Tamandua tetradactyla: one gene and its partners. The protein of the gene in region 4 purifies or fractionates together with the protein of the main gene of each other region. This does not show direct contact. Links are inferred from orthologs where the notes say so. Each region holds a gene or a part of one and is shown on either strand. Other genes may lie near its edges. The genes, in order: PRPF19, RBM17, PHF5A and SNRPA1.

Evidence for each region.
Region 1: the proteins of SNRPA1 (region 4) and PRPF19 fractionate together in Homo sapiens (co-fractionation; 3 studies listed by BioGRID). This does not show direct contact. The link is inferred for Tamandua tetradactyla from reciprocal best matches to the Homo sapiens genes SNRPA1 and PRPF19.
Region 2: the proteins of SNRPA1 (region 4) and RBM17 purify together in Homo sapiens (affinity purification with mass spectrometry; 5 studies listed by BioGRID and IntAct, with this or other methods). This does not show direct contact. The link is inferred for Tamandua tetradactyla from reciprocal best matches to the Homo sapiens genes SNRPA1 and RBM17.
Region 3: the proteins of SNRPA1 (region 4) and PHF5A purify together in Homo sapiens (affinity purification with mass spectrometry; 4 studies listed by BioGRID and IntAct, with this or other methods). This does not show direct contact. The link is inferred for Tamandua tetradactyla from reciprocal best matches to the Homo sapiens genes SNRPA1 and PHF5A.

Annotation. Positions count from the first base shown.
Region 1 is NC_135335.1:14,204,551-14,212,094, reverse strand, and holds the start of PRPF19 (pre-mRNA-processing factor 19), read right to left. Parts: upstream 3,474-7,544; 5' UTR 1-3,473. Other genes in the region: voltage-gated monoatomic cation channel TMEM109, read left to right, coding at 4,586-4,610. UniProt on the Homo sapiens protein: Ubiquitin-protein ligase which is a core component of several complexes mainly involved pre-mRNA splicing and DNA repair. Required for pre-mRNA splicing as component of the spliceosome.
Region 2 is NC_135333.1:57,822,078-57,829,817, forward strand, and holds the start of RBM17 (splicing factor 45), read right to left. Parts: upstream 3,314-7,740; 5' UTR 3,089-3,313; intron 1-3,088. UniProt on the Homo sapiens protein: Splice factor that binds to the single-stranded 3'AG at the exon/intron border and promotes its utilization in the second catalytic step. Involved in the regulation of alternative splicing and the utilization of cryptic splice sites.
Region 3 is NC_135333.1:34,624,793-34,632,839, forward strand, and holds the start of PHF5A (PHD finger-like domain-containing protein 5A), read right to left. Parts: upstream 3,509-8,047; 5' UTR 3,456-3,508; coding exon of another isoform or gene 3,404-3,455; 5' UTR 3,358-3,403; coding exon 3,273-3,357; intron 2,957-3,272; coding exon 2,933-2,956; intron 2,608-2,932; coding exon 2,441-2,607; intron 1-2,440. Other genes in the region: ACO2 (aconitate hydratase, mitochondrial), read left to right, coding at 3,970-4,005.
Region 4 is NC_135338.1:83,233,745-83,242,079, reverse strand, and holds the start of SNRPA1 (U2 small nuclear ribonucleoprotein A'), read right to left. Parts: upstream 3,249-8,335; 5' UTR 3,151-3,248; coding exon 3,069-3,150; intron 1,222-3,068; coding exon 1,074-1,221; intron 176-1,073; coding exon 97-175; intron 1-96. UniProt on the Homo sapiens protein: Involved in pre-mRNA splicing as component of the spliceosome. Associated with sn-RNP U2, where it contributes to the binding of stem loop IV of U2 snRNA.

The DNA of each region.
Region 1 (7,544 bases), on a different chromosome or scaffold from region 4:
CACTCAAATTCCAGCTTCACCCAGCTAGTATGCCGTATAAATTTCTATATTCCTTAGGTTACTCGTGAAATAAGGGGAGTGATTACAAGAGCAGATTTAACTCACAAGGTTTTGTGAGCAGTACTGCAAAAGAAAAAAAAGGCTTTGAACTAAACCTGGCACAGAGTAAGCACAATATAAATGTTCACGTTATTATTATCATGAAATCTAGCTAGATTGTCCAAACTGCCATGATGGTAGCTCTCCTGTGGACCAATAAAATAACTTCCTAACTTGTTTCCTTACTTCCAGCCTGTCACAGAACAGCTGCCTACTGTCAATGAAAAATCTATTCGCAGTACACTCCGGGCCTTTCATTCATTCAACAACATTGACTGGACACCTGCTAAAAATGCCAGGTTCTGTTCTGATAACCAGAGATACAAATGGTGAACAAGAAAGACAAGTTTCTTGTTCTCATGGAACTTATATTCCATTGGAGGGCACACAGACAGACGAAAATCCCAAAGAATGGTTAAGTGCTATGAATAAAACAAAACAAGGTTAAGATGCACAGGAGGTGCGGAAATTGGAGGGAGGGCTCCTCTAGACAGGATATTTGGGGAGGGGGGCATCACTGAGGAGGTGCTAAAGCCTGGATGAGGGAAAGGAGTCAATCCTGAGACCACCAATAAGGGAGAGGAAACTTCCCCCAGGCCCTGCACCTGGATACTCTCACCTCATCTTTTCTCCAGACTTTGACTTTCTCAATCTGACCCACTCTGGCCCCTCCCCCCCATACCCTCTGTGCTGGTTTGAAAGTGTTGTTTATACCCCAGAAAATCCACGTCCTTTAATCCTGATTCAATACGGTAGAGTGGAAACATTGAATGGATTGTTCCATGGAAATGCGACACACCCAACTGTGAGTGCGGCCTTTTGATGAGATGGAGATGTGACTCTGCTTATTCAAGGTGGATCATGATTAGTTTACTGGAGTCCTTTAAAAGGGGAAACATTTTGGAGTTGATTCAGCGCTGACACAGACATTTGGCGGTGCAGAAAGAAAATTTCCCTGGGGAAGCTGTTTTGAAATCAGAAGTAAAGGGCCAGCAGACACCAGCCCCCATGTCTTTCCAGCTGATAGAGGTGTTTGGACACCATCAGCCTTTCTTGAGTCAAGGTATCTTTCTCTGGATATCTTAGTTTGGACATTTCTATGGCTTTAGAACTGTAAACTTGTAATTTAATTCCCTTTGTAAGAGCCAACCCATTTCTGGTACATTGCATTCCAGCAGCATTCAACAAACGAATACACCCTCCAATGTAATTTCATCTCACTTTAAATGTCACTTCGTGGGGAAGGCTTTTCTTGATTTCTATCTGAAGTTAGACCCCATAGCACCCTGTGATTCTCCTTGAAGCCCCACTGGATAGCTACAATCACTTAATTTTTTATAACTATCTGTTTGATGTCTGATTTCTCTGCTAGACTGTAAACTCTGTGATGACAGGAATCACAGTTGTCCTGGTCACTGTTGTTCCAAGATTCTAACACAGTGTCTGACAAACAGTAGGAACTTCATAAATTTTGTTGAATAACAGGCTGCCTGACACGTCAGGCACCTCAAATACTTGGATGTGGCAGGATATAGACTGGGTGGATTTAGTCGGGGCCTTGTACAGTAAGTGGTTAGACTTGACTGGGTTGGGAGCAGAACAGCATTTGATTGCATTTGAGCTACGGAGTGACCTAAAGATAACCACATTTCTAGAAGTTTCCTCTGGAAGACGCTTACTGGAAGGTTGGAGCGGGGCAGACTGGAGGGAGACCATCAGCCATTCACTTACTAGACTGTACCCACTATGTACCAGACAGGCACTGCACTAGGAGCAAAATCAGAAATGACCCTCCATTGGGGGGGGCTTATGGTTGTGACTTCAGAACATAGCGAAAAGGGAGTCCCTTAAAGGATTTTGCATTTCAAAAGTCAGCCTCTAAAGGACTAGAGAGGATCGAGATATTAAACAGTTGATTTTGGAGTAAATAGAACTTGTAAGAGTTTGACCTCCACCCACTCTCCTTAATCTGCCCCACCTCAACATCCCCATAAAGGAAACTGTTCTAGTTTGCCAGCTGCTGGAATGCAATATACCAGAAATGGAATGGCTTTCAAAAAGGGGGATTTAATAAGTTGCTAGTTTACAGTTCTAAGGCCGAGAAAATGTCCCAATTAAAACAAGTCTGTAGAAATGTCCATCCAGGGAAAGATACTTTGGTTCAAGAAAGCCGATGAAGTTCAGGGTTTCTCTCTCAAGTGAGAAGGCACATGGCGAACAGGATTTCTCTCTCATCTGGAAAGGCATGTGGGGAACACGGCGTCATCTGCTAGCTTTCTCTCCTGGCTTCCCTTCATGAAGCTCCCCAGGAGGCGTTTCCCTTCTTCATTTCCAAAGGTCGCTGGCTGGTGGACTCTGCTTCTCGTGGCTACGTCATTCTGCTCTGCTCTCTGAATTGCTCTCATTCTCCAAAATGTTTCCTCTTTTATTCCTATAAAAGAACTAATCAAGACCCACCCAAATGGATGGAGATACGCCTCCAGCTAATCCAGTTTAACACCACTCTTGATTAAATCTCATCTCCAGGGAGATGATATAATTACAGTTTCAAACATACAATGCTGAATAGGGATTAGAAGAAACAGCTGCCTTTACAAAATAGGATTAGGATTAAAACATGGCTTTTCTAGGGTACATACATCCTTTCAAACCAGCAGAGACACAAGTTCCCTAGGCTGGAAATAGAGGGGAAGAGATAGCTGCACAGCTGTTGGTGAGTCTCTGAAAAAGGAGCCCTTTCCCTTGCTCCCTCAGGCCAAAGCTGCTGTTGCTTGAGAAACATAGAGGCATGTCTGCCAATAACCCAGAGGCAGCCCAAGCTCCATTTCCCAGGTAGATTCAGTGGCAACCTGCCTGGATAAATGACAGAAGATTTGGGAGTCTCAGGAGTTGCCAATTCAAACAACTGAGATTGAAGTTTAGATAAGCTTTCCCTTCTCCCGGCTGGCCATACGTTAACTTTCCCAAGACTGCGTACAACCTGAAAGTCAGGAGTCAGAAGAACCCAGAACCCTGTCTGAGATTGTTTCTACCACTCCAAGGGAAAAGAAGAGATTTGAAAAGAGATAACATCATAGGAAAAAAATAAGAATGCTTGCACAGGGACGTCTGCGATCTGAGATCCATAGCCCTACAAATCAGAAACAATCTCACCAGCAAACGTAAAACAGCGACTGTTACAAAACTTAAAGGTGAGGTCTACGATGCCACCGGAGCCTGCTCCAGAAGATTCTTAGCTGAAACAGTAAATGATGAGGGCCCAAATGCAGATAGGTGAGTCTGAGAAAGAAACAACTAGATTAGAGGACAGACTGGGAGCCACTCCTGCATGTAACCTGGAAAGAAGGCAGAATGGGGAGGCAGGTTCAGGGGAGGGGCAAAAAGGGCTCCGATTTTTAGGACGTTCTTGAGGACCTGGTTTTAACAGCAGAAAGGAGCCATCCCTACGGTTGTCAGTAACGGCGATGAAGCCTTTGGGAAGCAATGTGGATGTCTTCAAAGTAATATTCGCTCTCTTCACTTCCTTGAATCAATCTTCAAACCGACAGTGAGGCGGTATCTTGGGAACCTTACAGCACTGAAAGCTGCTTCAGAGTAAAGCTGAAGGATCTGAGGCTCAGAGAAATCAAGCGACGCGTCCAGGATCACCGAGCAGGTCGCCGCACCCCAAATCCTTCCCGTTTACACCGCTGAAGGAGTCTGAGCGCTGGTTTTCCTACTGCTCTAAAATTCTGAGCGAACACCCGGCAGGGTTCAGGTGTGGACGTGCCCTGTGATGGGGCAGATGCCTTTCCCCACTGTCGCTGCGCCTCCAATTCTCACACCATGACCCCTTTTGAGCGCAAAGTTTCTCCCGAGACCCGAGGCTCTCGGCGCCTGTGTTAAGAACTACATTTCCCACAATGCCCGAGGCGGCATTATGTAGCCCAAGAACTACATTTCCCCAAATTCCGAGGGGGTTGAAGCGGCAAATTGGCTTCGACCTCGATTCCAAAGATCCAGTTTACCTACTGAACAGCCCAGATATAGTCACCTTTTTCCCCCTTTCCTGTCAGAGACTTCCGTTCCCAGCTTGAACTTCCGATCCCATTCTTCTCTCCGTACTAAAACTTGGGGGAAAAAAAAAAAAAAGTAATCGAGACGGTAGAGCGCATGCGCTCATGGCACTAAGCTCCTGAGGCGGCGAAGGCCGACCCGGCTCGGCTTCAGGAGCTGGCGCATGCGCAGACGGTAAACGAACGCCCAGGCGTTGAGGCGCGGGTTTGGTGGCGCGTTTTAGCCAAGTCGCACGTGAAGAGCAACGGTTGCCGAAGTTCCGTAAGTATGAGCCGAGACCGGGGCCGGAGGAGAGACATACAGGGCCGGGAAGCGGCAGCCGCTGTGGGGAGGACGAGACCGGAACCTCAAGGCCTGGCGAGCCGGAGTGGGGAGGGGTCCGACGTCGTGCGGCGGGGGAAACAAACTAGGGACCCGGATCCTCGTTGCTATGCAACCGGGGGCGTCGTTACTAGGTAACCCGGGAAGCGTACGTTTCCGGGGAGCAGAGGGAATCCCAGCGCTGCTGGAAGTCCTGCGGAGACAGGGCGGTTGCCAGAGTAAGGGACGAGGCTAGGGTCGGGACCCTCGCCACCGATCCCCACCTCGCGCTGCCCACCCCCACCCCCGCGGTCTCTGTCCGAGCCCCTCGGGGTCGGTACCCCGAGGCCATGAGCCGCCCTGCGTCCCCTGCCAGCGAGCGACGCCACCCCACTGGGCTTGGCAGGGGACCCGCTGTTCGAAATAGCACATGCCACTGACACCCTGCCTCGGATGGCTGGGTCCTGGGGAGGGTGCGGCGCGGCTGGGAAGCTGCCCCCTTGCCCGTCGCCCTGCCCCCAAACAGTTGCTGGGGAGCAGCTGTCAGGGGCTTAGCCCGGGCTGTGCCCGACCTGTCAGGATGCTGAGTTCATCCTCCTCAGCGGCGGCTTTGCCCCTTCTTTGCCTTTCAGCGCAGCTGTGCTTCTCGGGTGGCCGCCTCATGTTTGGATCGGTGGTTGAAAGAACCCTCTTACTACCCACCGTTCTCCCTTTCTGTCCTCACGGGGTTCCTGGCATGCCTCTAATACTCATTCTACAAAGCACGTATCGGTTCTCCTTCTGCAGTAGGCGTGGGGGACTCCTCTCCTTCTGTGCTAGGCGCGGGAGATTCCAAAATGTTAGATGTCAAGTCTGACCGGGAGGAGCTGAAAGTATAATGGGAGGCTAATGTCACGAGTGGTATATTGGCCAATTGGGGGGTGGAGGGCAGTGTGCCATAGCACTTCTTTAGATGTTTACAGAGTTCATGCAGAAACGTCTTAACTCCTTGCAACAATTCTTAACCCCGTCTAACTCCATTTTACATTTGAGGAGAAGTAAGAGGCTGGCATAAGGGTAGTGGCTTTCAGATTGTCACAGAACTTAACCTGGAACAGAAGTCTAGGATTCTTTGTAGCTTTATTTTTTTTTCCTGCAGTGCTGATCATTTCTGCCAGCTGTCTGGTTATGCACCAGAAGTCCCTGGGTGTATGTGTGTGTGTTTGTGTGGCCGGGGGTGGGGTGGGGGGGCTTTAAAAACAAAAGGTTGAAAGCTTTCCCTTCTCTGGGAAAGTCTGATTAAGTAGGACCCGGGTTAGGCAGCCATCCTTTAAACAGTCTCTACAGGCAATTCTCAAAGGCCATCAGAGTTGAGAATCGTTGCTCCATAGAGGCAGCTATGAGCAGTGGATGGGAAATCAGAGCCAGCAGAGGACACTAGTGCAGCTTCCCCTCCAGCCACACAGTGATTCATAGCCTGAAAGGAAACTAACCCAAAGAAAGGGGAGGAAGGAGCTTCAGCAGGGGACAAGGGCGTGTAGCCTGCCCCACCCTGCCCTCTTAGCAACCACAGCTAAACATATAGTGCCTACTCACTATCAGAATAAGTAGTTTCCCCTTCCCACCTGGCTTCTCCTGGCCCTGTCCAAGCCATATTGCAGCTGCCCGAGCAGAAGTGACAGGTCTTGTCGCCATTTTTTGCTATCCTCTCATATTTCTTGGTATGAAAGCATGAGTTGTGAGTTGTAAACCCAGCATCTCCTGGTAGGTGGTCTCCTCTTGGGGGTCTGGATGTCCTCCCACACTTTTTTTAATGTAGATTTTTCTTTAATAACATTAAAAATAATCTGATTATAATACGAAGACATTGTAATTTTTGACAAAGTTAAAAAGAAAGAAAAGCACAGAAAATAAACCAAAAATTACCCACAATCCTACTGTCCAAAGAAAAAAACACTGTTAATTGATGTATTTGCTTCCGATCTTTTTTCTGCCTATATATACTTTCTCTAAATATTTTTAATGCAAGTTTTATTGATATATATTATACATCGACATGCCATATAATCATATGAAGTGTACAATCAGTGGTTCACAGTGTTGTCATATAGCTGCGCATTCATCATCACTGTTGATTTCTGAACATTTCCTTACTCTAAAAATAAATAAGAATAAAATGAAAAATAAAAGTAAAAAAGGGCACCCAAAACATCCCATACCACCCCTCCACCCCTATTATTTGCTTATTTTTTTGTGTTTATTTTGTTACTCATCTCCCCATACGGTGGGTGAAAAGAGTGTCAGTCACGATCAGAGAGTCAAACCTTAAAATCTGTATAGGGTGCATGGGTGGTTCAGTGGTAGAATGCTTCCCTACCATGCAGGACACTGGAATTCGATTCCCTGCCAATGCACACACACACACACACACACACACATAAAGCTATATCATTATACAATCATCATCAAGAATCAAGGCTACTGGATTACCAGTCGACAGTATCAGCTGTTCCCCTCTAACTACTCCAATATGCTGAAAGCTGAAAAGGGATATCCATATGCTGCATAAGAATAACCTCCACAGTGACCTCCCTTCCCTATTTGTAATCTCTCAGCCACTGAAACTTTATTTTGTCTCATTTCTCTTCCCCCTTTTGGTCAAGAAGCCTTTCTCAATGCCACGATGCCAGGGCCAGGCTCATCCCCGGGTGTCTTGCCCCACGTTGCCGGGGAGATTTACACCCCTGGGAGTCATGTCTCATGTACATGTCCTCCCACTTTGACCTTGTTGATATTGGACAGAACTTAAGTCTCCTTGAGAGCAGGGGCCATGTCTTAAGAGGCTTGTCTGGGGCCTTAGCCATCATTACTTTCACGAAGGTAAAAGTAACGTATGAGACAAGCAGAAGGGCAGGATTTAGATCTGGGTTCTGAGTCAAATCCCAGATCTTCCAGGTGGTCTTGGACAAGTCCCTTGACTTCTCTAAGCCACATTTTTCTGAGTAAAATGGGGAGACTTTTACTTGCAACACTTTTCAGAGTATTGTTAGAATCAAATGAAATGGCAATGTAAAAAGCACTTAGTAGATAACAAAGGACCACACAAACAC
Region 2 (7,740 bases), on a different chromosome or scaffold from region 4:
AGTGCATTTCTTAAGTCTTTAGGGACTATCACCCCCACACAAAACTACCGATCCCCCATTGTTCCATACTTGGATCACAGCAACTCCTACCTGATACACTGCCTACAGGTTTATGTATTCGTCTTACATTATAAGCCCTGTAAATGAAAGGGCTGTTTTTGTCTTCATCTTTGTATCTCCAGTTTAGCATCATGGTCAGAACATTGTGGGCACTTAATAAATATTTTCTAAATGTATCACAGAATAGATAGAAAATGCTAATGCATTTGTTCTAGTTTGCTAGCTGCCGGAATGCAACACACCAGAGACGGATTGGCGTTTAATAAAAAGGGATTTATTTCCTTAGTTCTTCAGAGGAAAGGTAGCTAACTTTCAAATGAGGCTCTTTCTTACATGGGAAGGCTCAGGGTGATCTCTGCTGGCCTTCTCTCCAGGCCTCTGGGTTCCAACAACTTTCCCCGGGGTGATTTCTTTCTGTATCTCCAAAGGCCTGGGCTGAGTACTGAGATAAGATATGCTGAGCTTGGGCTGTGCTACGTTGTGCTCTCTCATTTAAGCACCAGTCAGTTAAATCAAACATTATTCATTGTAGCAGGCACACCTCCTAGCCGACTGCAGATGTAATGAGCAACAAATGAGGTTCACATACCATTGGCTCATGTCCACAGCAACAGAACTAAGCACCTTCACCTGGCCAAGTTGACAACTGAACCTAACTACCACAGCATCTATTTAAATCACATTATTAACATCCATAAGATCTGCAGATCTGTATTTAAAGACATATCTTACAGGAAATGAAATTTAATATGTTTGATGACTTTTAAACTGTATTAACATAATTAAAGTGAGAAAAACTACTACTACTGTACAACCCACAACAAAGGTCTGAGTTCTGAACACCTAAAGAAGGTTTGGCAAGAAACCTTTTTATCACTACATAGATATTTATGTATCATAAAACCAAAGCCTCCTCTTTGAAGCCTGAAGAATACAGCAAGCATACACAGAAAGGAACAAGAAGGAAACCATGAGGGGTGATGCACTTTGTTGTCCACAAAAAATACAGCTATAAAAGGTTTATGCCTCATGTATAACATTAATTATTATTATTATTTATTATTTTTTCTTGCATGGGCAGGCACCAGGAATCAAACCTAGGTCTCCGGCATGGCAGGCGAGAATTCTGCCACTGAACCACCGTCACACTGCCCCATTTATGATAACTTTTTAAAGGAGTTTAAAAGAAATTTCCTGTACCTCCCACTCTCACATGTTCATTCTGTTTAATATTTCCATTCATTTTCATAGACTTATTGACCAAAATGACACAGACTGGAGTACACTGCAGACAAAGCCCACTAGAGTCACCTGGAATTAAAGTGTATAATTGAGTATCTTCTATCACTTACTATTATGAAAGGTTTGAGGGATTACTAACCCTGGATCATCTGTTTCCCTGCAAGGGGAGGTCTGAAGAATTCACTTGCAGGGAAGAATAAGAAGATAAACTAAAACAGGGTAAAGAATCACCTTAATAAGTTACGTTTTGGGGGGACATTTAACAATTCTCTGAAAATTCTTATTTCCCATAAAGGCTATCTTTAGTTGCCACAGAACTTCACAATCAGAATCGCTCTTCACTATTAACTTCTATTCCATCTTACGTTTTTGTTAATATCACAACCTACTCTTCTCTGCAGTACCTAATCACCGCTTAATAAATTCTAATCATAAAACTCTTGGTTTGCATTACTAACTTATTACTCCATATTCCCTAAAAATCCTTATTATACTCAAAATGTGTGGCCTTTTTGTAGCAAAAATGTAGAAACTGACCGGCAGTGTTTAAAAACTTTACCTGTGGCAGGGACACAGGTTCTCATGGTCTATTTGAGTGTATGTAGAATCTTATCCTATCTTCAATATTCTATTTTCCAACTTCATACCTGGCTTATCTGACAAGTACCTTTGATGGTCCTCCCTTACTTCTCAAAGACCCCCTCATGGTCTGACATGACTAACCTTCCAAATAATTTCTCCTCAAACTTTTTTCTCTGCCTTACCCGCAGTTACCCAAGTATTATGGTGCTTCGCCTTTCTGGTACTTTTGCACTTGTTTCCTTTGCAGGAAACCTTTTCCTCTCCTTGTGGGTTAAAAAAATATCATTTACCCTTCAAGAATCAGCATAAGTATCAGCTCCACTTCGAAAGTCTTTCCAGATCCCACTCTAGTCTCTCAGATCAACCCAGGTAGGGTTTTCATGCCTAGTTTCTCTAGAGACCACATTTCATGAAAGTAGCGACATATTCGTAGATCACAGTTGATAACATACTGTCTGGGTAAGAGTAAATGCTCGAAAAATGTTTGATGATTGAACAACAGAGCTAAAACCAGGACCTGACAATTTACAAGTCCACTGTAAAATGACAAGGACCAAGGTAACGGGGAAGTCATGGTTTTCTTCACTTGCCCAGGTAGGTTCCAATTTTTTGACATCTGGAATTCCCAGTTTCGAAGTTCTGGGAGGAAATGGGTTTTATCCTCTCCACTTCCTGAGTCCTGGAGGGACACAAGAGTGCTGGGCACAGGTGACATATTGCCCTGGAAACAGGGTCAAGGGACCGACAAACTTTTTCACACATGATCAACGAAGAGAAGGAACGTTCTTTAGCCCCCGAAAGACTGAAACTGGCAGATAAAAGAGAACAGGAAGGAGAGAGTAAGAGTACGAAAGACTGGGACTGGAGGATGAGAAAAAAAAGTGGCAAACGCACGAAAAGGTGCTGCGCTTGGAGGCGGAGAGAAGAGAATATGGAGGAGGAGGAGAACCGGGCCAGAGGCTCCCGACAGCAGCTCTGGGAACGAAGCCAGGGGCAAGGCGCGAATGGGCTCAGCGCAGGGAACCCGGGGCCTGAGAGCTGGAGGACGAGATCGCCCTCAGCTTGGGGCTGGCGATGTCGGACCCTCCCGCCCCCTGCGCGGCGCGGCCTAATCTACGGCCTCGCGTCCGGCGCGGTCCTGGCTGGCGCTCCCGCCCCAGCTTCGCAGCCAGGCCGGCGGGGTGGCGACGAGGGGGCTACTTACCCGGCTCGCCCAGACGACCTTCCCCATGGGCCGGAGTGGCGGCACCACGGAGCCGGGGCCGAGACGCGCAAGCTCCGTACCGAGCCCGGAAGCGCGGCGGCCAGAAGAGGAGACGCACCCTGCGTAAGCCCGCCGACGACACCGGGCCACGGAGTCAGCGCCAACTCCTACGCCAAATCCGGAGGGGCTCCGCGGCGCGGGGATGAAGGAGCGTGCGCCGCCAGTAGAGAGGGGACGCCTGTGCCACGGCGCCGCGTCTGCAGCGGCACCTCTCGGTGGGAGGTCGGTACTGCTCTCCCTCCTCCGCCAGCGTCTCTTTCTTTCACCAAAAGGTGTCGCAGTGGCGCAAGTTATTGAAATCTAAATAGTAGAAGAAAGTGGCAGTGACCCCAGATGGGCAGAAGAAGAAATGGTCCAGGACAACCGCGATCTTCTCGATAGCTAACTGTTTTCTAACAGGGTAAAGGAGAGAATCTCTTCTGGTTCTCCATTCTAATGCAAAGAACTAAAAATAAATCACCATAGACGAGATGAATGGAAATATTCACAGCAAAATAAATGGCAGTGAGCATTGAATTGATTTGCCTATAAGCCTCAGGATTGGGATTGCAGAAATGAAAGTAAATGTTATAGTCCCTCACAATTTTAAAACTACATGACTACAGAAGTTGGAAGGGAAAAAGAAAGTGGGGTTTGGTGTAAATATGCTTATTTTCAGACTTATAATTGGGGGTCAAAATATTTCAAGCTAAATCAAATAATAGATTTAAGCATATGTTTTAGTACAAAGAAACATTAAAAAAAGATAAGATATAATCATATAAAACCCGGTGACTAAGAAAAGGGAGGGCAAGGCGAAAAAGAAAGAAGTAAGGTAGGGAGTCAATAGAGATTCTAAATAGAGGATTAAGAACATCTTGTCATTGATATAATGATAAACCAGAATAAAAACACAAACCTTTTAAATTATCAAGCAACACACAACAAAACAAACAAAATCAAGTGTGAGATATTTGAAAAAGTTACAAAACAGAAAGTATAAGATGATGACAGAACTATAACCAAATATCTCATGTTAGTAAACATGAATGTGTTAAGCTCACCTATCAAAAAATGCAACTTCAAACTGGAGCACAAGACATAGCTCAATTCTGTATTGTATCTGAGAAGGAATACTAAAATAAGGGGATTCTGAAAGTTTGAAAATAGAAGAATGGAAAAGATATACCAGAAATAAAGAATTCAGGGATCACAAACCTAGTCTTACACAAGCTTGATTTCAGGATGGGGAACATAAGGAGGTTAATAAATATAAGGGGGTACAATTCACAGTAAAGGAAAAAGAATCTGTGCATCAAAGAACATAATTGCATTATTCATAGCAAACACTAAAGGAGATGTAAAGAGAATTAATAGATGGAAACCACTGGTACAGTCCATGACTGATTAAGGGCACAAAAGTAAATAAGGGTAGAGAAGACCTAAAAATGTAGCTAATATGATAAATCTAACATATCAAACTCTGTACCCTGAAACAGAGATTACTGCTTCTTTTTAAGCATCCATGGAATATCCACAAAATTTGACCATATTTTAGGCCACAAACAAAACTTGATATATTCCAATGAGTAGAACCATATCGATATTATCTGATCACAGTCCAGTAAAACTAGACATTAGTAACAGAAAAAAATCCTACTCCTTGGAAATTTAAAAATGCTTATATAATATTTGGGTCAAAAGGAAGACAAAATCAAAACAGTGTAATATATATAGAAGAATACAGAAATGAAAATGACATACTAGAACTCATGGGATTTAACTACAACAATACTAAGAGGAAAATTTATGGTTTTAGATGTTTGCACTAATTTAAAAAATTAGAATGAACTGGGTGAATGAAGCACCCATGGAAGAATTTAGAAATAGAACAACAAAATCATTTTTTTTAAGCAGAAGGAAGTAATTAATGAGGATGAGAGCAAAAATAATGGTATATAAACCAGAAAAACATGAAATTAAGCAATAAATACAACTGATTCTTTGGAAATGAATAGATGAGCTGATAATTAAACAAGAAAAAAGGGAGTAAGCACAAGTATACAAAATATTGGATGATAAGGGGAATTCACCACAAATACAGAGAAAAGTAACTTATCTTAAAAGATGACTTTGTTCAGTTTTATCAAACAAATCTGAAAGTCTGGATGAAATAGATAACTTTTAGGAGAATATAATTTCCCCAAAATGGATGCTACAAGAGTTAGAAAATTTAAGCAGACCAATCATCACTGGAGATTTAGAGAATGGCAAAGAACTACCTTCCAAAAAGGTACCAGGTCCAGATATATCCACAGGGCAATTTTACCAGACGCCTAGGGACAACAAATTCTGTTGTGCTATTTGTTACTGAGCAAACTAAGGAGGAAAACTTCCAAATGCCTTGTTTAAAGCCAACAGATACAGCCCAAAGAAAATTTTATTCTTTTGTCATTTGTGATTTTCAATGCAAAAATCCTAAATAAAATATTAGCACAAAGAAGTACATTGGGACAGAAGTTCTCAGTCCTAGGCTGAGGCCAGTCTCAGGGTTGCTGGGGATCTGCCCTCTTTTAGAGCAGAGAAAAGCCTCGGGAGTAAAGTAAGACAAAGTGCTCAGGGCTACAGTGAGTGCTCAGTCACAATTTTGGAGGGATCCTTCCTGGGTTCAGAGGATTTATTTCTAGGGTTGACTTGGAGACTAAGGCTTATGGAGGTCAACTCCATTTCAGAGGTGACCTAAAGTTGGGGAGGCTTTTCTGGAATGAAATCCAGATTATTGGTTCAAATTTAGTCAGGCTTAAGTTCAGAGTTATAAATAGGTCTGATTCTTGGGTTCAGGCTCACCTGTGAAACCCAAAATTTTCTTAAAGGGCTGTTCTGATTGTCGGAGCCTGCTCATGCAGGTGGTCAACCTCAGCAGCTCTCAGTCTTGGTGGAAGGGAAAGATGGCATGGAAAGAAAGGATTAGACAGATTAAGGAAATAGCCAGAAGTAACACAACTAGGGAGAGAGAGAGAGTTGGGTTGTGGGTTCATGGGAAAGCCAGTGGGCAAGGAGATGTGGAAAAGGCTGGGAAAGGGTGGTACCAAAGTCTCAGTAGAAGAAACTTTGTTTTAGAAATGCAGGCAATGGCTCGAACTAGTAGGAGATTAAAATCTCGCTTAGTATGAGTGAAGGTAGGTCCTTAGCTGTCTCTCTACCCAGTCTGCAGCAGGAGATGGACAACCCACTGTGCTGTGGACAGCACTCCTTCCTGGGGGCCAGAGATTTGTTGAACAGAAGAAATAGATGGAGGTCTTATTTACCGTGGGTTCACACCCATGGGTGTGTGGATTAAGATTAAGAACCTATGTTTGTTTGGGTCCATAATTCCATCTACCACAAACACCATGGAAATCCCTGTACATGCTCTTAAAAGGAAAGTATAATAATCTTTTTTTTTTTTTTGTCAGTGTTTTTTTTTTTGTCTTGGGCATTGGTTACCTCACACATGAACTGGACCTGGAGGAAAAGAAAAGAGGTTCCTGGCAGACTGGGGAGGAGGCCCTGGTATTTATTTAGATAACTCTCTTAACAGTTCTGTGAGATTGTATTATTCCCATTTGACAAGTGATGCTTACTTAGGTGAAATGACATTCCCAGGGGCATTTAGCAAGTGGTAGAGTCATGATGAGAACACGGTATCTATCTCACCCCAAAGTCTCTGACTCAACTGACACTTAAGAGAAAAAGTGAGCCTTGGGCTAAACTTTTAAGGACACTTAAAATTTGGTTCATGAGAAAGAAGAGAAGTCATTCTTTTTTTTTCTAATTTTATTTTAGTTTATTTGAAAGTTTGAAAGTCATACTTTATGATTGAAATTTCCCTTCTCATTATAATTTCATTTTGTTAAAGCACTTACTTTTTTGGTTTGGGTTCAGGTTTAATCTTTTTCCTGCAGCAGTTTCTATTTTGGTAGGAGTCCCTTGGTATTAGAACAATTATCACTACAAAACAAATGACTTCAAACTTTGCGTCTGAAAACCATAAACACTTACTAACTCTGGGGAATTCAAATAGAATAAAAAGGTATCCAAAGAAAAGTAAAATTCTCTCTTCTACCTCTGAATTCCACCATCCACCTACCCAGAGATCATTATACTTTATAGTTTCATAGCATGTGTGTGTGTGTGTGTGTGTGTGTGTGTGTATGAGAGTTTTAGCTTTTTGCTTTGAAATCATTTCAGGCATAGAAAACAATAATAATAACACAAAAACTCATAAGCCCTTCATCCAGACTTCCAAATATTAGCATTTTACTGTACCATCTTCTTTCTCTATTTTTTTTCTGAACAATTTGAAAGTAAATTGCAAATGTAATGCCCTTTTACCACTAAATACTTCAGTGTGTTTCCTAAAAAAACAAGTACATTTTCTCATATGACCAAAGTACAGTTATAAAAATCAGGAAACAAACATTCATGTAATGTGATTATCTAATCTATAGACTTTATTCAAATTTCACAGATTGTCCTGGTAATGTCCTTTTTTTTTCTTTTTTTTTTTGGCATGGACAGGCATGGAGAATCGAACCCAGGTCTCCAGCATGCCAGGCGAGAACTCTGCCACT
Region 3 (8,047 bases), on a different chromosome or scaffold from region 4:
CCAATAAAATCTTATTCTTTAGTATTTAATTTCTCTTGTTAGGGAGAAATTTAATTAAGGTAATTTAAAGTTTAATTTTTCTCCTTAGGGGTCAATAACAAAAAAAGACTGAAAAACACTGAGTTAGACAGACCTGGGTTCTAGTACTGTATCTGCCATTTCCTAGCCATGTGATCCTGGGCCACTTTGCTTAACATCTCTAGGCCTTAGTTTCCTGACCTGTATCACTTAAGACTTTTGGAGAACGTTCAGCATTGACCCTCACACATATCAAGAGCTCCACAAATTTTAGCCATTTTTCTTCTTTTTTGTATGGGAGGAGAATTGAAGAAAATGGTAAGTGAAAGGAGTAAAGGAATCAAGGGCTAAAGAGGATTAATGTGGTGCTGCCCTATAAGAAACTAGCAATTTTCATAGATATTATCCTCAACTCCTGATTATTGTTGTGGCTTTGAAAAACTGTAAGTGGGAGAACCCAGATTAGCTTTCTGGTCTAATTCCCTTATAAATTATGAAAGTTGCAGGAAGAGAACAATAATGGGGAGTGCTTTGGTTCTGGGAAGATTTCTGCATAGGAAAAAGTCTTGGGCACTTAATCTACATGACAATCTGTAAGGTTGAGAGCCTGGATCATGTCACTGGACTGCTTTGTGTTCCTTGGAAACTAGTGCTGATTAAATATGAGCTAGATGCCATCTCAAATATCCTCAGAACATTCCTGTACAATGTGAGGTAGGGGAAGTGACGTCTAAGACCATTCTCTCAGGGACAAAATGAGGCATAAGGATCCCAAAGTATCAGGTCACATACACATGCATACGAGTCAGATGGCAATTAACATTTATTAAGCACTCTCTGGTTGCAAAGCTTATGCCAGATAAGAACTTCAGTCACAATCATGCAAAAGTTCAAGAAAATGTTGTTCTTAATGGACTTTAGCTAGCTTAAGAGTTGCTCATCCTTTCTTTTCCCTGCTGTTACCTTACCATGGTTACACTGCTTATATGCTGTAAATAATTACCAAACACCTATGTATCAGACACCCTGTCAAGGGATATTCATATGGTTTACAGGGACGGCACCAAAAATGTCCCTCATGCTTGTACTACCAGCTAAGCACTAAACCAAGAACTGGGGAAACGGAGGAGACAAATACATAGTCCTAGGGCCTTGTGCTAAAGGAGTTTAATCTAGCTGCAAAACCAGAACCACATTTATTTTGTTTTGTTTTTAATTTAATTTTTTCAGATCCACATTTATAAAATGCAGGATATGGTTTCACAGTCAAAGGAGAAACGTAAATCAGAGTCCAGGAGAATGTTCAAGTAACCAACTGAAATTATGTTTTTTTATGACCTTTCGCATCTCTCTAAATTTTGGAGATGTAATTGTGCAAGAAATAGTCTAATTTGGCCTGATATGTCCTTCCTACTGGGGATAGACAGGATCCAAATGAATAAATAAGACTACTGAGGTAGTTCAATTAACATCTTACCAAAAGCTATTTCAAAAGGACAACATGGTATAATGGTGACACCACAAAGTATAGTCTGACAGCCTGGGTCTGTCACTTATTAGCTGGACGGTGCACTGTAAAATGAGGATACCACTACCTATTTTACAGTTATTGTCAGGAGAAGGGAAATTGTATAAAGTATCTACTCCTTGCTCATGGAAATATGAAGAACTCAGTATCTTTTGCCTTATGCTATACTAGGTAATGGGGTACCCTCATCACATTTCCTTTTATTGTGTTGTAGGAAGAAAACAAGCTGATTCACGGTGGTTGTTTTTCCCCTCCAAGAGCCCTGCTGCCAGTACAAATCTAAAGAAAAATGTTAAAACTTGTCTTTGGTGCAGATCTGCAAGTCCTCTTTCCTGGCATTTGGCTTAGGGAGTTCAATGATAACTAGCCATTGTCTGCCATTACACAATGTCAGGGAATAAAAATATCATGAGGTGGAACCACAGTCAATTCTACGATATTAAACCAAAGGCATTCTTCGGCTGTAGAAAGCTGAAATCAACTTAAACGGTCTCAAATTCCACTTTGTCACCACATCCACCCAAGCAATCCCTAATGATAGTAGAGTCAAGAGAATTACTGAGTGGCTATTACACATTATGCACTGAGCTAAGACTTACAAATGCAGGATGCTGTTTCTGAATAAGAATAATCATAGAGTGACATTAAAGGAATAGAGAGAAGTCTTGCCAAATTGCTGGTGTTGACAAAGATTTGCTTCTCTTGCATTTTTGCCTTTGATGCAAAATAACTGCCTTTTATTGGTCCACACCCAACTTGGCTCAAAGAACTTGAAATTATAACCTAGGTGACTAGCCAAACATGGTAATCTCCACAGACCATAGGAGTTTGCTGTGGATGGCAGTGTTACTAAATAAAAGGAAAGGTCAAATAGAAAGCTTTGTATACACTCACATCCTTCTCCTGAATGGTGCACTCCTTACAATAATAGGCGTCAGAGACCCCGGGACCCCCACAGATCACGCAGCGCCCCTGGTAAGAGCCGTAGTTACACTCATCACATATGCGCACTAGGGTGCAGGGACGCACGTAAGAATCACAGATCACACACTTGCCATCACCTGCAAGGAAAAGAGAATAGAGTCATACTCACTTGCAAGTTCCTCCTCTCCCAAGTCCTTAAAACTGTATTGGGGATGGGGTCATGCTATTCTAGCAATTCATGTCCAAAGCTGGAGACTTTCTCAAAACCCGAATATAGCATTTAAAATGTACAAGTCGGAGTGGGGAAGTAGAGGGATCCCTTAGTTGCAGCCTGGCATTGTTACATGCTTCCAGCCACCCCTATTCAAAGCCCATTTATATGGCACTGGTGGAAATGTCCGTTTACTGGCTCCACAGAAACTGAGTGGGAGGGGTGGGGTGCTGGGAGGGAGTTCAACTCACATTTTTCACACAGTCTTCCGATGGCTGCAAGATCGAAGAAGGTAAGAGTACAATTAGAATTAGTGTTTTGGCTAAAGAGAAAAACACACTTGAGCCGGAGGCGGGGTCAGGAACAGAGACTACAGTAAATTCTAAGGAATGGCCATCTTATTATTCACGATGAACTCCGATCTGAGCCAAACCCACAGTCACGACCTCCCTCCTGAAGCCCGTCCCAGGTCCTTGGCAATTCTCAGCAATATTTCTTGGTACCCAGCCCCAGAACCCAACCCCGCCTCAAGGCTCCCCGCCTCCCGCCCTCTTTTTCTCAGAAGCACGTATCCGCGCGCTCCTACAATACCCTGAAACCCCGAGGCGGGAAGCGTGGCACGTCCGAGGCGACACTCTAGAGAAGTAATGAGAACCCCCCCAACCTTCCAGCTCATAATACGACCCCTTCACTGACAAGCCGGGGACGGGGCGCAGTCTCACCAACACCAGCCTGTTTACGACAAAAGATCAAATCAGGATGATGCTTAGCCATAGCGCCCACTCTAACCGGCCACCGGAAGTTTCGGAAACTTCCGTCCGACCTTTAACCCCCATTGTTCCTGCCTCTGGGTCGCCGTGATTGGTCGGCTAAGCTTTCACCATTTTACTGTCTTTGCACCAAAGCTCGCTCTCGCGCGATCAAAGCTCTTAAATTCCTAGTCGAGCATCTGTCACTGCTGGGGAACCAGGTCCTGGCAGGTGCTTGAAAGTCCTAAAAAAATATATAGTTTTCCCAGATTTGGATGGCAGATACAACGGAAACTTGTTTTTCAATAAAATATATTTGTAGCGGGTATTTATTTCTGCAGCTTTTTTCCCTCTCACGTGTCCGTTCCTTACATGTGCTCTCCACCCACTACTGTGTTCCCCAGCTCTGACACCTCTAGGAAGGCCCCGCCCCCACCGTCGACGTGTCTCTTCTTAGGTCACGCCCCCTGCCCAAAGGCTTTAAATGACGCTATGTAGTACGTCACTTTCACGCGACCTCATCTTTGTCAGTGCACAAAATGGCGCCCTACAGCCTTCTGGTGACCCGGCTTCAGGTGAGCGAGCCCAGAACCCCAAGGTTCATGGGGGCAGGGTGCTTCCCATTGTGCCTGCGGCTGTAGGCGAGGCAAAGCGAGGCGGGGTCTACCTCGGGTCGACTTTTCTGGTACCAGTTCCGGCTGCGAGCTCAGCACCCGTACCCGCTTCTCTAACGCCCGAGGTCAAGGCGTCCCCGGCTCAGTCAGTTTCTCTGGCCCTGGCCCAGCCCTGCGGGAAGCGTAGGTTCAAGCAGCGGCAGCCTGTGGAAGAATAGAGGCTCCTCTTTCTTCCTTTTTAGGACCGCTCTCTCGGCTCTCGTAGAAATTCTTTCTGCTCCTCAAGGTGACGGCAAGGTGACTGGGGGGCACGGTCGTTATTGAGCCCGCTAGGTCCAGTTCCTGAGGACTCTCCATCTCAGCACCAGACTTGCCAGGTGCATCTACGGTTGCCAGGTCTGGAATCGTCAGAAGAAATTGGTACCCTATCCCAGACCCTGCGGAAGATATAGCCAAGAGTGCAAGGGGGTCTTCCGGACCCCGACCTAGAAGATAGTAATAATAATCGTAGCCTCTCGCGTTTGCACAACTGTTTTAATTCTTCATCATTTGGTTCATATAATTATCTAGTGCGATAAGTACAAGGTGATTATTCTCATTTGATAAGCGGTGAAACTGCTTGAGAGTAGGTGAAAGTTCCTGCGTTTAAGAGTGTCTTCTTGTTCCATGTAACTTTGTCATCAACAAAACTTTGAGCCAGGGTGTGTTTCTGGAGTTAACATTTGTATTTATGAGAACACCAGAATGGAATATTTTGAACTCACAGGTGGTTGCTTTTCAGATACTAGATGGGAGGGTAAGGAGGCTCAACTGTTTGACCTTGACTCTCCCGTTATGAGCCACCAAGAAAGTTGACTGGCTGCGACTGCCAGATGTTTTAAAATTCCTAACTTACAACTCTTAGAAGGATGTTATACTCAGAGATTCAGTGTCAGGTGTGTGTTTTGTTAATACAGTAAAGAAAGTAAGCATTTGTTAGACGCTCTCTGCCAACCTTTAAATTTAACTTTGTGGATCTACTTTAAATCAGGTGGCAGAGTTTTGATTATAAAATTTAAAAAGAGAAGTTATGTGTTGTACTCTTGGGAACCATTGTGTGACTGGAAATTATTTTTTACCACATTGCTTAAATTTAAACCTTGTGGCTTAAAATGAAATAATCATTTATTATAAAATACTTTTAGTCTCGATTCTGGGCAAATGCAAGGGATTTGTATCTTTATCTCTTAAGGTGTTTTTGATTCTTTAGGTTGATCCCGCTGTCCCATGATATAGAAGAGTCAGGCAAGATTACTTGGTAAGATAAATGATTACAGATGAATTAGGCTTGGGAAAGAGGAATAATATTACAACATTTTAGAACTGAAGAGAATCTTGCAAGTGTTAGTTTACTGTAAAAGAGATCCAGACTCTAGTTCATGTTCTACGGGGTTCTGTGACCTTGAGCAAGTTATTTCATGAAGCCCAGTTACCTCATCTTCAATTGGTATTGATCTTCATTGAACATTATTGAGTGCCTGGTAATCATCTTTCTTGCAAGTTGTTGTGATGACTGTTATAAAGTAACGAGCAAATAGAAAGTATTTATCATCAACATGTAGTCGTGTCTTTTTTTTTTTTGTGCAGCTGCATGGATTTAAAAAAAAATTTATTCTCTAACTGTAAATACGTGACATTTCCCTTTTTAACCACATTCAAATACATACCTTAGTGCTTTAATTACAGTCACAGTATTATGCTACCATCATCACCATCCATTACCAAAACATTTCCATCATTCCAAATAGGAACTCTGTACATTTAAAATCTTAACTCTCTATTCCTTCTCCCTACTCAGCCCTTTGGTAACCTGTATTCTAGATTCTGACTCTTGAGTTTGCTTATTCTAATCATTTCAGTGAGATCATGCAATATTGTCCTTTTGTGTCTGAGTTATTTCACTCAACATGATTTCTTCAAGGTTTGCTATCCATATTGTAGCATGTATCAGAACTTCGTTTCTTTTCATGGCTGAATAATATTTCATTGTATGTATGTATATACATATATATGTACATGCTGTTTATCCATTCATTGGCTGATGGACACTTGGGTTGCTCCCATGTTTTGTAAATAATGTTACTGTGAACATCAGTGTGCAAATATCTGTTCAAGTATCTTCAGTTATTTGGGATATATACAGAGAAGTGGGATTGCTGGGCTATATGATAATTCCATACTTAACTTTTTGAGGAAGCTCCAACTGTCTTCCACAGTGGTGGAATCATTGTTACAATCCCACTAATAATGAATGAGTGTTCCTGTTTCTCCACATCCTCTTCAACACTTGTAATTATCTGTTTGTTTGGTTTTGTTTTTGTTTTTGTTTTTTTGCATGGGCAGGCACCGGGAATCGAACCTGGGTCTTTGGCATCGCAGGCGAGAACTCTACCTGCTGAGCCACAGTGGCCCACCCCAATTATGTTTTTTTTCCAATAGTAGCCATTCTAGTGAGGGTGAAATGGTATCTCATTGTGGTTTTGATTTGCATTTCTCTGATGCCTAATGATATTGAGTATCTTTGCATGTGCCTTTGGCCATTTGTATATCTTCTTTATAGGGGTATCTATTCAAGTCCTTTTCCCATTTTAAAAATTTAACTGGGTTTTTGTCTTTAAGTTGAAGGATTTATTTATATATTTTGGATAGTAAACTTTTATCAGATATGTGGTCTCCAAATATTTTCTCCCGTTGTGTAGGATGTCTTTTTACTTTCATGATAAAGTCCTTTGGTGAGTCCCATCAAATAGAATGTATGTATGATAAGCATATAGTCCAACTTCCTCTTTACAGATGCTTTTGGAGCCCTGGTTAATTTCCAGTAATGGTCCAGCTAGTCTGTAGCAGAGTCAGGATTAAAATACAGGTCCCTTTGTTTGTTCATTAAACTAAAATGAGTGAGCAATATTATTTACTTTGCATTATACCACACTGTCTCCCAGTAGTCAGGCTGTCTCAAGTAATGGCCAGCTCACACCGTCCTCTGAGAACCTTGTGAATTTACCTCTTTCATGTTTAGCCACATTTGAGAAATAATAGTAACCACCTTAGTAGTCATCATGTCTTGGCAGAATCTTGTCCTTGTATTCAATTCATTCCCACTTGATTCTTCACATATTTACTGAGCTCTGTTTGCATGGATACAATGGTAAGTAAAGCAGACAATCCTATTCTCATGGAGCTTCCATTATATTATAATGTATCCTACTAGGAGGGCCTTGGAAAGGTTTCTCAGCCAGAATATTTTTCTTTTAGTCTTGGCTGGACCAAAGGTGAAAGTAGAGTATAGAATTACGACTATTACTACAACCACTAAGAGTAGTGAACCGATTTAGTAGCTGCTAAGAGTAACTAGTAATAGTGGTTTACTGTGTACCAGAAATCACACATGACAGTGAAATAAGGCAGACTTAATTAGTTATAAATTTCACAGATGAAGAAATTGTGGATTGGAGAGGAACCTTGTGTAAGGATTAAGAGTATAGACTCTGGCATCAGACTGCCTAGATTGGAATCCTGGCTCTAATACTAGCTTTGACTTTGAGCAAGTCATTTTACCTCTCTGTTCTTGTTTCCTTGCCTTTAAGATACAGATGATAACAGTACATCTATCTTATTTAATCTTCAATAATCATATTATTGTAAAGCATTTAGAACCCTGCCTGGCAACTAGTAATTGTTATATAATTCTTAAGTACAATAAGATAAATTTGCCTAGGGTCTTATCACTACTTGTTAACATGTGATTTGAATCTGTACCTTGTGATTCCAAAGCCTGAAGTTCTAGAGACCGCATTATGCTGCTTCTCTTTGGCCTCAAGACAGTCTGTTGATGCTTCATAATCTGAGAACAATGCTCCCTAAATTAAAATATACTGTTGTTTGCAGAAACTGCTACCAGGAAGCAAGATTAGAAACAAGAGTGAAGAAGATGGGAGGTGAAATTTTTGAAAACCCTCATTTA
Region 4 (8,335 bases):
CTATGAATTTTTCTGGCTTTATCAAATTTCTTATAGGAAGGATATAGTACCTTTAATCTCACCCCCACCCAAAACATTTCCCCCCATTCATCTTACCAGTTCCACAAGACTGTTGTTGGTGAGAATGAGCTCCGTCAGACAAGGCAGAGCCTGGTCAAGTCCCTCACCTATGCGGCTAAAAGAAAAAGACTCTTAAAATTTAGTTAGCTAAGAATTTTATCTAAGTTCTTGCTCAGAGGATTTCAGACTTCACAGTTAAAAGGAAACTTAGATTCTTTTTCCAAAACCCCATCTGACAGTAGGGAAATGAGGCACAAAGAGAAAACTTCGTAAAAGGTCTTGGATTAGTACCAGAACTGGGAGGATTTTAGTACATAAGCCTTGTGAAGGCTGCCTAGAGCTCCTTCCACTGGCACAATACCTAGTGAGAGTGCATTTCATGATTTCTCTGTGCAGACAGCAAAGAAATACATGATTCTGCATTCATAATTCAGGTATAAGACGTTCAAAACTATACCACAGGGAATGATAAATTTATGAGAAATATGTCTCAACAAGGAGACCTTCTTAAAGACATTATCTGTATACCTGGTATAAATTTTCTTCTATAAAATTTACACAAAGCTGACGTAGGGTCACAAAGAGATTTCAATTTCAGTAAGTAATATTCTAGAAATCCATTGTAATTAAAGAAACATAAATAGCAGAGAATGTGAGGTAAGAAAGAGTTGTCTGAGCAAAAATATAATTGCTGAAATTATATATTCCTTTAATGTGATCCTTTTCATTTTTATAATTATTGTTTTAGAAGCCCAAATGTGTACCATGAAGCATGTTTTAAATTTAAATTAAAATGTTACCATGAATATATAAATTTTCTACATTTCTAAAACAGATGCATATAAGATTAGACCAATGCCAAGTTAATCTTCTGGATCTCTATGAGAGGAGTGCAGGTCATTTCTCACATTAAGAAGAAATAAACAGATTTAACCAGTAGTATGCATTACAATCTCTTCAGGGATCACTGCAACATTTACTCTTGGGAAAAATTACTACTTAGTAGAAAGTACCAGATTCTGTTGTTGTTCACTAGTAATGTTTTCAGTCTTCTCAACAGAGGAAAACCATCCAGTTTTCTGATTTCATTGTCAGAAAAATCAATAGCATCAAACTGGTCTAAGGTAGCACCAAGATTTTCAATTACAGGAATTTTATACCCTGTAACATTAAAAATAAACAAGAAATATCAAGCAAAGGAATTAGAACTGTATCATAATTAAAAGTTACCTTAAAAAATTAACAATATTTCACAGTAATTTGACTGAAGGCTTTCATTCATTCAAAACTATTTACCTAACGCCTACAACATGCCAAATAGTGTGCTAGGTAGTGGAGATAAAATGTCAAACAGTCAAAGTCCCTGTGGCTATGAAACTTATAATCTAGTAGTGAACATGGAGATGCTGCTGCAGCTGATGATGAGGATTACTTATTATTACTAATATTTGTAGCAAACATCTGTAAGAATATTTATAAGGTACCCTGTACTATTGTAAGCAGTACACATGATTTGTTTCATTTAGCCTCAAGTTTTTTCATCCCCTGTAACAATAAAATGATGCAAGGTGTTAATAATAGGGTAGTATATGGGAATCTGGTATTTTATGCCTGATTGTTCTATAAATCCACAATAAAACAATTTCAAAATGTAATTTAAAAATAAAATGAAACCGAAGCTCTGATTTAATCAAGGCTCCAGAGCAAGTTATGCTTTTAGCTGACTATTAGTACCCAAGCCTTGTTTATACTATGTGAAAAACAGCCCTCAACCTCTTTTGCATTCCAACAGGCTAGATTCAGCAGGATATCCTACTGATGTGTTTGTTTCTGCTTTCTTCATTTCCCCCAGTTCCAATGCAGAATTGAGGGTCAACAGCTTACACACATTACTACAGCATACTATGAACCATTCACTCGAATGCTCACGATTGGTCTAATATGGGCAAAATTATCATGCTAGATGTTAGAAGAAGAAAGAAACCCAGTCAGGAATAAAGTACACAATTTGGAACTGTAAGAACTACATCAAAGTAGGTACTACACCAAAATAAATGTTTTCAATACTGGGTGCACCTCAGAATTTAGAAAGGTACCACGAATCTGAAGACAGTAAGTTACCCTTGAACTGAACCTTTCCCTAAGAAAGGTGATTTCAACAAAATAAAAGCACTGGGACTTCCCAATCAGCAAAGAAACTAATAAAAAAGCAGAGCCTGAAGAAGTGCTGTTCCTGAGACCGGTCTCCATGTGGAAAAACCTTAGACCGGGAATGGATAAACTTCACCCCAGAAAAGATCACATCTTTTCGTTACATCCTTTCTAAAGCAGTCATGCCTTCCTCGGCTGAGATATCTACATGAACCTCCAAAGTTTGGAGAACACCCTGTGGTGGTGGCTGGAAACATACCCCGCAGCAAGCTTGGTGAAACAGCAGAATGAATTTTTTAAAACGTTTTGATGAAAAGGAAACTGAAGGAACCTAAAGCCAGTAAGAAGGAAATACCGCGGAAAATAAGCAATCGCTTTTGTTCCCGGAATTGGCTTCCCTCGTCATAAATTATGGGTAATCACCATATGCCCCACCTACTCCCACAGTATCATTTCAAAGTATTTAGCGAGACCCAACCATCCGCCGTGCACTTGAGTCACAATCATTACTAAGTATATAATTCTCGGCCCGAAAAAGAGCTCGGATTGCGAAACGCCCCAAACAAGGTCTAATAGAGGTCCACGGGCATGGACAAGGAAGCAATTAATTCGGCCACGTGTGTGCGAGTAGGATAGGGACTGCAGAAGTCTCAGTGGTGCCTAACGGAAGGCTCCTTTGGCGGCAAAGGCAAGAATCGCCTCTAGGTGCCGGCTCACAGAACTCGATGTACCAGGAACTGCGCTCGGCGGCGGGCGGAGGCCCCGACCGCCTGGGCGCCCAGAATCCAGGCCGGAGGCGGGGCGCCAACACGTGGCCAGTGAGGTCCAGGGACGGCCGCCCGCTGCCCCGAACTCACCCCGTAGGTCTAACTCGCGGTCCCGCACAGCATTGGTATACTGCGCCGCCTGCTCGATCAGCTCCGCCGTCAGCTTCACCATCCTGCAACACTCCCGCTTCCTGGCGCTTCCTAGCGCCAAGGCCCACTGCTTCTCGCCGGCTACACTTCCCAGTGTGCCCCGCGCCCTCCTCCAGACAGCACCAATCGCAGCCGGCGGGTGCGCGCGCATCTCGACGCCAGGCAGAAGCAATCGAAGGACCACGCCCCCGGCTCGTTTTCTAAGTTCCTGCCTGGCGCTGCTTGAGGACTCCTTGGGTTCTGCGTATCTTGTCTGGTGGGCCTCTGAGACCAGAGAGCTGTCTCCGAAAGTTAAGCAAAGTGTGAAAGCACCTCTGTGGAGCTTTCATATACATCAGTGGAAAATGAGAGGGGAAGCTATGACCATCCATACTCCACCCAGGAGGGCGGGGACCTCTGAGGTTCAATGTAGGGAGGGGCTGCAACTTCACATTTCCGTCCTAGTCCTGGGCTTTGGCTGTTGGGCTACAGTGTGGGAGCCAGGGCATGGTTACCCCCTTGTGGCCAGACTGCTGGGACAGCCCCACTGCCTGACTTCCCACCGGGCACCAGCACTGTTGGATTTGCGGTGTCCAAAGACACTGGCGTGGTTTGTAGTTAACAGCATTTTACTCGGAACACCAGAAGTTTGGGTGCAGCAAGGAAGCCTGAGCACGGGTAAAAACAGAGGCAGCTTCCAGCTTCTAAGAATGGCAAATGATTTTTACAGCCATAAAAAGGAGGTTAGGTTGACTCCTATTGATTGGACAGGGGTTTGTTCCGCTTCGAGGGGTGGGTTTAGGGCAGGTGGGATTTTATTTTGTATTGCGGCAAATGCAGTAAACCAGTTGATTGGCTTGCTTGTTTACCTGGGTCAGCCACCATGGTGGGGATTTCACATTTCAAAAGACAGCAAAAGGAAACTCAAGAGTTTGCTCAGAAAAGTAGGGCGCAGGATTTTAGCGGTGGCTAGGCCTGTGGTCTCTAGACATTTAAAACTATATATGTAAGTATGATATACAGAAAAGTGCACAAATCATAAAACTGCGGCATGATGAATGACCACAGAGAAAACACTACTACCTAAGTGCTACCCAGGTTCAGAAAAAGAACATTTTCCTGAGAACTCCTTGCCCAACCCAAAGAAAACAGTGAACCGTAACAATGGGTTAGTTTCACTTACTTAATTTTATTTTATTTTTGTTTTTTGTGTAACATAACATATATACAAAGCAAAGAAAGAAAAAAGCAATAGTTTTCAAAGCACTCTTTAACAAGTAGTTATAGGATGGGTCCCAGAGTTTGTCATTAGCTACCATACCATCATTTCAGATTTTTCCTAACTCCTCCAGAACATTGGAGGCCAGAAGGAAAAAAATATTTTTTTATCATCACAATAGACTTTTTTTTTGTGAAAAATAACATATACAAAAGCAAATTTCAAAGCACAGTGCAACAATTAGTTGTAGAACAGGTTTCACAGTTTGGTATGGGTAACAGTTCCACAATTTTAGGTATTTATTTCTAGCTGCTCTAAGATACTGGAGACTAAAAGAAATATCAGTATAATGACTCAGCAATCATACTCATTTGTTAAACCCTACCTTCTCTGTATAACTCCACCATCACCTTTGATCCTACTTCCACTTATTAGGGGTATTTGAGCTATGCCCATTCTAACTTTTTCATGTTGGAAGGGGCTATTAATAATATGTAGGGACACGGAACTAGCTGATGTTTTGGAGAGGCTGGCTGCTCTGGGTTTCAGGACTTATCTGGTCCAGGGGTCCATCTGGAGGTTGTAGGTTTCTGGAAAGTTACCCTAGTGCATGGAACCTTTGTAGAATCTTATATATTGCCCTGGGTGTTCCTTATGATTGGCTGGAGTGGTTTTGGTTGGTGTTTGGCAAGTTATGATAGGTAGCAATGTTTAACTGCACACTTTCTTTCTTAAAAAATTTTTAATTGAGAAATCTTCACATGCATACTTTCTATACATGGTGCACACAATCAGTGGCTCACAATATCATCACATAGTTGTGTATTCATCACCATGATCATTTTTTAGAACATTTGCATCACTTCAGAAAAAGAAATGAATAAAGAAAGAACTCATACACACCATACAACTTTACCCCTCCCTCTCATTGACCACTAGTGTTTCCACCTACCCAATTTATTTTACCCTTTGTCCCCCTTATTATTTATTTATTCATATGTTTTACTCATTTGTCCAAACCCTGGATATAAGGAGTATCAGACACAAGATTCTCACAATCACACAGTCACATTGTAAATGTAATATCTTTATACAATTGTCTTCAAGAATCTAGGCTACTGGGACACAGCTCAACAGTTTCAGGTACTTTTCTTTAGCCACTCCAATACACCATAAACTAAAAAGGATTATCTATATAATGCATAAGAATAACCTCCTGGATAACCTCTCTACTCTGAAATTTCTCAGCCACTGAAACTTTGTCTCATTTCTCTCTTCCCTCTTTCGGTCAAGAAGGCTTTCTCATCTCTTGATGCCAGGTCCTGGCTTATCCTAGGCTTTCTGTCCTACGTTGCCAGGGAGATTTACACCCCTGGGAGACATGTTCCACGTAGGAGGGAAGGCAGTGAGTTCACATGTTGAGTTGGCTTAGAGAGAGAGGCCACATCTGAGCAATGAAAGAGGTTCTCTGGGGGTGACTCTCAGGCCTAATTTTAAGTAGGGTTAGCTATCCTTTGAAGAAATAAGTTTCATAGGGGCAAACCCCAAGATTGAGGGCTCAGCCTATTAATTTGGTTGTCCCCACTGCTTGTAAGAGTATTAGAAATTCTCCAAATAGGGAAGTTGAATATTTTGTCCTTTCTCCCCATTCCCTCAAGGGGATTTTGCAAATACTTCTTTATTTACTGCCTAAATCTCTCTGGGATTTATCAGGGCATCACACTAACCTAGACAAACGAACAAAATCTCACTCCCTATTCAAGATTCCAGGTATTTATGGTGTTCAAATAAACTGACCATAAAAGTATGAGCACTTGATATAAATGGAATTATGCAGTCTGCTTTTATGCTCAGTTTCTTTGGTTCAGTATTATGTTTGAAATTCATGCAGGTTGTATCTAGTAATGCTTTTTCTGCTGCTGTATAGAATTTCATGATATGTCTTACACTATAACATCCATTTTACTGTTGATGGACAAACTGGGTTGTTTCCAGGCTGGGGCTAGTGTGAATAATGCTATGAGTTTTCTTGTACATGAATCTGGTGCACATGCACATGAGTTTCTCCAGGAGTGGAATTGCTAGAACAAAGGGTATTGTATCATCGCCAGGCAATGCCTAACAGGTATGCCAAGATTGGAATAATTTCATTCTAGCTGTGTGTAAGTGTTTCCAGAACTTCCAACCTCAGCCTCACTTGACATTGTCAGTCTTTATAATTTGAGCAATCCTACTGGGTATATAGTAGTTTTGAATTATTGCTTTGATTTTGCTTTTCTCTAATAACTAATGACGCTGAGGCCTTTCTCATGTGTATACTGTCCATTTTGATATCTTCTTTTGTGAAGTGCACATTCAGGTCTCCTGCCAACTCTTCCTATTCGGTTGTCTACCCTTTTATTATTGATTTATGGGAATTCTTTATTCACATAGACTGGATATGAGTACACTCTGTGGTTTATCTTTTTTACTCTTATTGGTGTTTGATAATTAGAATAATTTTTTTAGAAGTTTGCAATTTTTATGTAGTTTCCAATTGATCTTTTTCATTATAGTTAGTGGGTTGTAAGTATCTGTGTGTGAGTGTGTATGTGTCTTGTTTAAGAAATCTGTCCTAATCTCCAACATATTTTCCTATGTTATCTACAAGGGGCTATTGTTTTACTTTCCACAATTAGCTCTTTTTGAACTTTTAATTGAAGTATGACTATATATATTATATATATAGTACAGAAGAGTACAAACCAAGCACACCCAAGCAACTAGCACCAGATTTTGTCCTCTTCCAGTCACTACCCTTGGCCTAATGGTAACCATTATCCTGCCTCTCTTTGCATAGATTGCCTACTTTTGTATTTAAACAAATGAAATTGTACAAATTAAATTGTACCTCATGCATATTTTGCTTAACATTATACTTGTGTGTAGACGTAGTTCATTTTTTCTCATTTCAAAAATGGAGTGTTTCATTGTATGAATTTTCCACAATTTATTTGGACATTTGTGTAATTTCAAATTTGGAGCTAGAATACATTATGCTTCTATAAACATTATAGTGTATATATTTAAGTGAACATATATACTCATATATCCCTAGTAATGGAATTGCTTGGTCATAGGATTTACTTATGTTCAGCTTAAGTAGGTAATGCTAGTTTTCAAAAATGGTAATGCCCATTTGCACTCTAGCTAACATTTGGTATTGTCTGTCTTCTTAATTTTAACCATTTCAGTGGGGTAGGTAGTGGTGCTGCACTGGGGTCTTAATTGTATTTCCCTGATTACTAATGCAGTTGATAATTTTTTTTTTTTACATATGTATTGGCCATTTCCTTATGTTCTTTTGTAAAGTGTCTGTTTAGTTCTTTTGTCCACTCTTCTATTGGATCTGGTTTGAAACTGTTATGTAATCCATCCATTTCTGGTATATAGCATTCTGGCAGCTTTAACAAATTGAAACAGATTTTGGTACCAGAGAAGTGGGGTGCTGCAGTTTTTGCAATATCAAACATGTTGGGTAAGGGGAAGATTCTGGAAGAATTGTGAGGAGGTGAATAGGAAAGGCCTGGATGGCTTTGAAGAGTCTGTTGGTAGGAATTTGGATGCTAAAGTGTCTTCCAATAAGGCCTTAGATAGAAATGATGACCATGTCATTGCCCACTGGAAGAAAGGTGACCCTTGTTTCACAGGGGCAGAGAATTTGGCAAAATTGAGTCCTGGTATTGGCTGGGAGGTAGAATTTGAAGGCAATAAGCTTGGATATCTAGCTGAGGAAATTTCCAAACTAAATGTAGAAAATACAGCCTGGCTTCTTCTTGTAGCTTATTGTAAAATGTGACAGGAAAGAGATAAGTTTAGAACTGAACTCTTTTGGAGAAAGCAACTGAAAACGTAGTTTGGAAAATTCTGAGCTTTTGGAAAATGAGATCCCAGAAAATACTGCCCTACGTGAGGATTTAACCAAACATGGAACCAGTCAGTCATTTCAGAAAAATCCAGGATTGGGGAT